2 linked regions of the Schizosaccharomyces pombe genome follow. The protein of the gene in region 2 binds, or shares a complex with, the protein of the main gene of each other region. Each region holds a gene or a part of one and is shown on either strand. Other genes may lie near its edges.

Region 1 (3,609 bases), 1.7 Mb from region 2:
TCAGCTACGACAAATATCTTTCCTTCTCCGCGAATAGCTAAATCTTGCGCCCTTTCGACAGGAATTGCACCAAAAGCTCTCGACATGAGGCCAATAAATCTTTGACGATAACTTTTAGCAGCAACCAAAATGGAAGTCCTCCTACCTACTTCTCTACGAAGTTGTAACATCAAAATCAAAGGATCTACGAATTGGTTCGCATGCGGCGCGGCCACTAAAATTAGAGGTCCCTTGCGAGGAACTCTAAAAGAGCCTCGCGTTTTAACTTCACGGAAAAAGAAATCGATTAAAACTGGGGTTCATTAATTAGCGTTCCGGTTGTAACTAAATGATAAGTAACTTACTTGATAAAATCCATAAGCACGTATCATAAATAAAGGTATGTTGCATTATAATTGAGTGAACGAACCCGTCTTCAGGGTTTCAAGTAAGATTAAACGATACTAGTAAAATAATCGTGAGTGTTTGGGAGGGGCCTCCTGGGTAATTCTAATAAGGTCTACGTAAAAAAGTAGGTCTCACTATATAGTACGCTGAAGTTGTATAAGGCAACGCGTTGTTTCATTAGATAGTTATAAGTCACTAAGATATACATGTTAATATCAATCGACATAAATCAGTATTAGTAGAAACATTAAAGATGTGATGTGAAAGAAATAGTATATTAGGATTCACAGAGTATTGATTTGAAAGATTGAGTTTAGTAATTGATCTCGCCATGATCTTTGTTAAATTGTTATTTAACAATTATTTGTGACAACAATTTCGACAATAAAGCCTATATTAAAAAAAAAATCAATTAAACTATGGGATAAACAAGAATTTAATGATGAATTTAAAATCTTTAAGCATAATCTGATACTTGCAACTGAGAATGAATGGATAAGGACTTACAAAATATGCAAACTCAAGTACTGCGAGTAAAAAAGTTGCATTGTAGTTGTCCTCAAACACATGATCAAAAAAAACCTTAGGATTTTTTCTCTCACGTTTAAAAGATTTAATAAATAATCGCAGCCAAAAAACCCAATTTTTTTAATGAAGCGCAAACTATATTCGAAAGCTCATATGATGTTTTAGAAATCGAACAAAATAACTGAACCACAAATAATCAACACACCTTTAAATTTACTCTAACTCTGTTCTTTTTCCCCTACACCTTGAGTCGTATCCGCTTTGGCCTTACGAGCCTCTTCCTTTTCCCGTCTCGCAGCCTTCTTTTTTTCCTTTTTTAGACGCTTTTTGGTTTCTTTATCCAAATGCAAATCATCGTTCTCTTCCCTTGCATGTTTCAGACTTTCCTCTTCCTTGGTTTCCAACATTTCTTCAGGTGGTATTATTAATTCCTCTGTGGGAGGGCCTTGGACAGGTAAATTTAAAGAAATAAGCGGTATCTCTTCTCCTTTCAGGTACATCAAGACTCTATTTAACTGGGATAGAACACTCTCACTTCCAGATTTTTCATCTTGGAAGCGCTCAATCGTTTGGATGTAGCGATTGAGAAATTTACTAGACGCGTCTTTGTCTAGCTTTTCAGACTTTCGCAAAATCATTTTAGGTGGACATTCTGTCGCCATGTTTAAAACGAAAATTCTCCTGAATAATGCAAAGTTCTCACGAACACAGCAATAATGTAACTTCAGTATCAAATGGAAAAGTTCAAGTCTAATGTGTAACGTTCTATACTTTTTTTTTTTGACATCAAATCACCACACTATTCACACATAATGCAATTCAAGAAGTGCTTAAATTAGCTACGCAATTTCGTATTCGTTTAGCGCTGCGTAGAACTGCGATAAAATTTACTTGTGATCTAGTTTATAGTGGTATGCATGATTCTTGTATGAAGTCTATATTCATATCTCATGTTCGTATAAGCTCATAACTGAACCTCATTCCTCATTTCAATTACCGCCTATTTATAATGTCGTAAGCATAGTTATCTACGACAAGAAAATGAGTTTGTATGAATATTGTCTCATATCTAACGGATGATAACAGAACATGTTATTTATGGTAATAATGTAGTATAGCTAATAATAAATATATTATGTAAGTTTAAATTAATAGTTTGAGCAAATAGATGCAATACTGATCCATCTCAAATTGTTTGAAGATAGGATAAGTCGTATAAGTTTAAATCCTCAGAGGTTTCATGGTGTCTGTCTCTTTAGTGTTTGAAGTCTTAGAAACCTTTTTTGGTCTTTCTATTACTTCCATTCTTTCGGGCCGTAGAAAAGATCGCATATTTACACGTTGATTCTCTTGACGATAATTTTGAAAATTCAGATGAGATATCCATCGCGACGGTGTAAAATACTTCTCACGAAGATATGACACCATTTCAGGGCTTTTATTCGTAAAATATATCCATTTTCGTTTTTTTTCCTTATAGATTATGTTTTCGTTAACTAATCTTTCTTCAATTCTTTTGGCATCAGCATAGCTGCAATCTTAGATAATGTTAGTATATGGTCAATGAGTTGGTAAATTTCCTTACTCAGTCGCGCCGCTAGCTTTTGGAACCCTTGATACTCTGACGCCCAAATACACCGAATTGCTCGTCTGTATGCGACCAACATGGTCATTCGGTCATACAAACTAGATTCAGAATCAACTAACAAACATGTATAACATAACAATTGGTTTGGTTGGCGAGGATCAGAGTCACTCTCAAATCCATAGCAAGCACAGTGAACCCATCCATCACATCTTTCGCATTGAAACTGTGTAAAATATTGTTAGTCTTTAGCAGGTATAAACGATTACACACCATTTCTGAGTCTTCCGTCGAATCACCGCATTCACAATTCAAAAGTGCTTTTTTCTTTTCGGCTTTGTCAACTTTGTCACTCCCTGAAATGTTTTTTTTTAACCAATTGCTTTTCTTTACTTCTTCACAAGGATTGTTATTTTTTATTTCCCTTAATCCACGACTTTCATTCTGCATTTTCTCACATTTTCCTTGACTCAAACTTTTTTCAACTGATTGTTCATCCAATATTTGAGTTGAGCCTATTTCATCGTATTTCAAAGGCTGGAGGAACTTTTCGAGCTGAGAATCAATTTTTTCTTGAGAATCAAATAATGATGATTCTTTATTAATCATGATCTTCTCTGTACTTATCGGTACAAATGCATGAGAACAATGTGAAATCGCAATACTATAGATTAGTAACTTGAAATTTGTTTTAATTTACTTACCCATTGTTTGATTCATAAAAAGATACAATATCTTTGAATTCTCCTCGATTGAGCCAAGACATGCAATCTTTTGTTTCTACGGTATTTAAAAACACGCCAGCTTTAGTTGCTTCTCCTTTTGATAATTGAAAGCGTTCCATTTTTGTAATAATTTGTACGACTTTTTCTTCGTCTTTGCACTCTGTTTTTACGTTACCACTTAAAAATAACTTTATTACAAACCTTTCTGAACGTTGATAAGCTTGATAAAACTCTCATGAAGTCTGTTAAAAAATTTACAAACAAAAGACTCACAACATATTTTCTCTTCACTTCCAGGGTTAATTGTAAATGAAAATATCTCCTTTTCAACCGCGTCATCCTCTAATATTGACTTGCATTGTGACGAAATAATCAGGTAAACAG
Region 2 (3,628 bases):
ACATTAGAGCCACAAGTTCGTCAACTTGGTATGCCTACTGTTTTGAAGAATGGTGTTGTGACGTTGTTAGCTGATTTCCCTCTTTGTACTGAAGGTCAACAACTGGACAGTCGTCAAACACGTTTGCTGAAGTTATTTGGAATCACGGCTGCTGAGTTTAAGGTTGGGCTTTTGGGCTATTATTCAAAGAAAGGTGCTTCTGTTGAGTTTCTTCAATCCGCACCTGGTGCAGACGAAGCCATGGAGTAAAATGTATATTACAGTTAAATGGACACATCGCGTGCACTATTGCATTATCAAAGTTTTTTGCTTTTTATTTTCGGATAAAATAAAATGAAAAGAAGGGTTACTAGATTAGTGAAAGCCCTGTGTTACCGTGCTTGCATAGTTGACGGACTTTGGATTTAAAACAATGGTTTTTTGTTCATGCTCTGATAAATTTACATAGAGATATGTACTCTTTCTTTTCTTTTACTTACTTTTGGGGGATTATTGGTTATTTCTTTTCCATAGCGGATGAAAATATATGAATAATATTTTTATACACTTTAAAATGAGTCATGTAGCACGTTGACATGGTAAAGTTAGTTTGCTAGTTTCACTTTCGCTGTGAAGGCCCTAAAAGTTGATTTCCAAACTCCAATTGTTGCTTTCGTAACGTACGAAAGAATGGAAACAACGAAACTGATTGTTCTTTTGACCGTCGATATGCCGCATTTTGTACTTTAAGGTAAAATCGATATAATTAGTTTTAAATGTTTTAAATTTTATGGAATCATTTTAGTAGCTATCCAAATTATTTCTAAAACTTTTTAAAATGTATAATTCACGTTACACAATTACATTTTAAAATTGTGTCGCGCTTCACACTTCCTTTCCACCAACATTCACAATGACAGCATATGCAGCAATTATAGGAACGAAAGATAATCCCGTTTATGAATTAGAGATGGGGCCTATAAATGAAAAACTAGACAGGGTATGTCACATAATACTATTGATTTAGAACGCTAATATCTGAATTAGTCTTTAAATTCTCATCTTAATCAATTTATCGTTCATTCGAGTTTAGACATTGTGGATCAGCTACAATGGACTAGCAATGCCTTGTACGTTTTGTGATTTCTTTTGTTTCTTGCAGTCATTGCTAATACTCTGTTTTTGTATAGTTATATGAAAACCATCGATCAATTTCACGAAATGTATATATCTGCTTACGTTACGCCATCTAGTAAGTGTTTTGTTCCCTTTAAATATCTGGGGTGACTTTTGGACAACTACTAATGTTCATTATTTTTAGATATGAGGTTTATGCTTCTTCACCAAAACCAAAGTGCTGACAACATTAAACTGTTTTTCCAAGAGCTCCACGAATTATACATCAAAACTCTAATGAGTCCTTTCTATCAACCTAACCAACCTATTCGTTCTCAGGCTTTTGATTTAAAGGTCCGTTCAATTGCTAGAAGGTATCTGTGATGAAAAGGTGTTGGTTGATTTCTTCCTCACGTTCTTTCTCTCCAAAAAGCATTTATCTTTCTCTTGCCTTTTTATTTGTAAGAGTGAGGCATCTACAATGCCTATGCTGGCCGAGGTTGATAATTGTTCAATTTCCACATACATGAGGCATTGAAGAGGAAATGTTTGCAGATATGTATTTTTTTTTCAGTTTTAAATTTTGACTCATTGTGTTTACACTCTGTATACAACATATATATACGTCGTTCTTTAGTTATGTGTACCTCACTTCTTCCTACAATTGATATCCATTTTACATAAACACAAAATAATACTACATCCTTTAAGCAACTGGTCGCGTCAAGCTGCGACCGTTCTTAGTAGTCCGATCCTTACAGAAGCAATTGTCAGACAACTTAAAAAAAAAAAAAAAAAATCCCTATCTACTAGATAAAGAAAGATGTTGGGAATATTAATTTCTAGAAAAACAACATTTTTTAAGCCGAAAAAATAAAGTAGTGAACCGATTGCTCCATTTTAACTTTTTTCTTTACCTAAGAAGTAGAGTTCTTGCTATAACCACATACTTTTTATTTTTTGTTTCATCACATAAAAGTTCCTTTAATATGAATACTACCTTGTGCATCGTTATCCAGCTCGATGATACCTACGTTGTGACCCACAAGCTCACCAGAGCAAAATACAGGTACGCTTGCAAAATTTCACTTTAAATTCTACTGGGGCGTAGATATGGCAAAATCAAGTGAATTTGTAAACGAGGAAAGTTCAGAAGATGAATCTAGCGTTTCTAGCATAGAGGATCAGCATTCGTCGAAAGAACCTGAACAATCCGTGGAGAGCAACAATCACGGCGAATCGAACGCACAAGAAGATGTTGCAGAAATTGCTGGTTTAGAGAAAGTGCAAGGAAAGCCTGTTTTGACCACTAATGACTTGAAAAAGGAGTCCAATGTTTTTTTAGTACGACTTCCGCCTGGCATGTCCGCTGACCAAATAAGTCAGCTAAAGGTAGGCTCCAAACCTACAGTAGAATTAAAGCAGGAGAACGAAAACACCTATCAAATCCGAGAAGAATCAACAAGCTCCGTACGTGTGTTTTTACCTGACGAGCAAGGTTCCTATACGTCAAATGAAATCAAAACTGGATATGTGATTACAGAGACCCCCAAAATTTCACAAAACATTGATACTGGTATTACAATACCTACGCAGGCACCACTTGTTCCTCAAAGAAAGAATCTGAGACAGCATTTTCGCCCGATTGGAGATGCTGTAGGGCCTGAATCGGAACCTGAAGCTGAACCCAAGTCTGGCATCAAAGAACATATTTTACAAGAGACTGGTGATGCTACAGTAGAGGAATTACAAAATAAAGGGAAGGAAAAGCAAAAGGAATTGAAAAAGGGAAAAAGGGAAAAGAAGGATGAGGAAGAAAAACCTAAGAAGAAAAAGCAAAAGAAATCCAGCAAAAAGGAAAAAAATTAGATTGCTTGAATTAGTGTAATATTATCACCTTTTAATAGAATTCTACCTAAGCAATGTTAGCAATTGGTTTGGGAAATTGTTAAATATTTTAGAACAAAAATCTGCATCAACGGTTTGTTTTAGAATTTGTAAGGTTGCTGGAAACGCAATTTGGTAAATCAGCTTAAGACATGCATCTATTATTATTTTTGCTTCATGTAAAGACTTTTGAATAAAATCCCACCGAACATTCTTTCACATAAACCAAGGTTTTATTCGTCTAAAATCAGGCTTACCTAACTCCCTTTTATTATTTTTAGCATCTACTTGCACAGCATCGTCAAGCACAATGTTCATAAATTCGTCGAAGCCCTGTCATATATCGTTAGCAATTCATCAACTTGTCGTAGGGAAAATGAAGGTATTTCAAAATCCTAGGCCAACGACTATGAAGGGATTTTCCATAAAGTAAATTTCTTACCCTAATTTGTCCCTGAAGTCTTATATCTGTTTGTTCAAACAGCCAAATTGAAACAGGAGTATGTTGTTGCAACAATTTGAAAATGAAATTCTGCGTAAGTTAGCTATCCAACAACAATTAACCATACAATAGGAGGTATCATAACTTTTTGCACGCGTCCTGACATCTTGAAAACTTATTTTATCAAAAAACGAAATTCTATAG

What was found.
Region 1: rpa34 (region 2) and ker1 share a complex: the UniProt entries of both Schizosaccharomyces pombe proteins name them as parts of the RNA polymerase I (Pol I) complex.

What each region holds. Positions count from the first base shown.
Region 1 is NC_003423.3:3,472,697-3,476,305, reverse strand, and holds ker1 (DNA-directed RNA polymerase I complex subunit Ker1), read right to left. Parts: upstream 1,662-3,609; 5' UTR 1,578-1,661; coding exon 1,134-1,577; 3' UTR 647-1,133; downstream 1-646. Other genes in the region: sct1 (glycerol-3-phosphate O-acyltransferase), read right to left, coding at 1-292, 345-390; synaptonemal complex-associated protein hop1, read right to left, coding at 2,137-2,453, 2,501-2,726, 2,774-3,164, 3,205-3,445, 3,484-3,609. UniProt on the Schizosaccharomyces pombe protein: DNA-dependent RNA polymerase catalyzes the transcription of DNA into RNA using the four ribonucleoside triphosphates as substrates. Component of RNA polymerase I which synthesizes ribosomal RNA precursors.
Region 2 is NC_003423.3:1,761,544-1,765,171, forward strand, and holds rpa34 (DNA-directed RNA polymerase I complex subunit Rpa34), read left to right. Parts: upstream 1-2,150; 5' UTR 2,151-2,208; coding exon 2,209-2,964; coding exon of another isoform or gene 2,965-3,010; 3' UTR 3,011-3,077; downstream 3,078-3,628. Other genes in the region: mRNA turnover and ribosome assembly protein Mrt4, read left to right, coding at 1-249; TRAPP complex subunit Trs20, read left to right, coding at 893-979, 1,027-1,109, 1,170-1,231, 1,301-1,479; Sm snRNP core protein Sme1, read right to left, coding at 2,961-3,010, 3,240-3,315, 3,425-3,514, 3,552-3,590. UniProt on the Schizosaccharomyces pombe protein: DNA-dependent RNA polymerase catalyzes the transcription of DNA into RNA using the four ribonucleoside triphosphates as substrates. Component of RNA polymerase I which synthesizes ribosomal RNA precursors.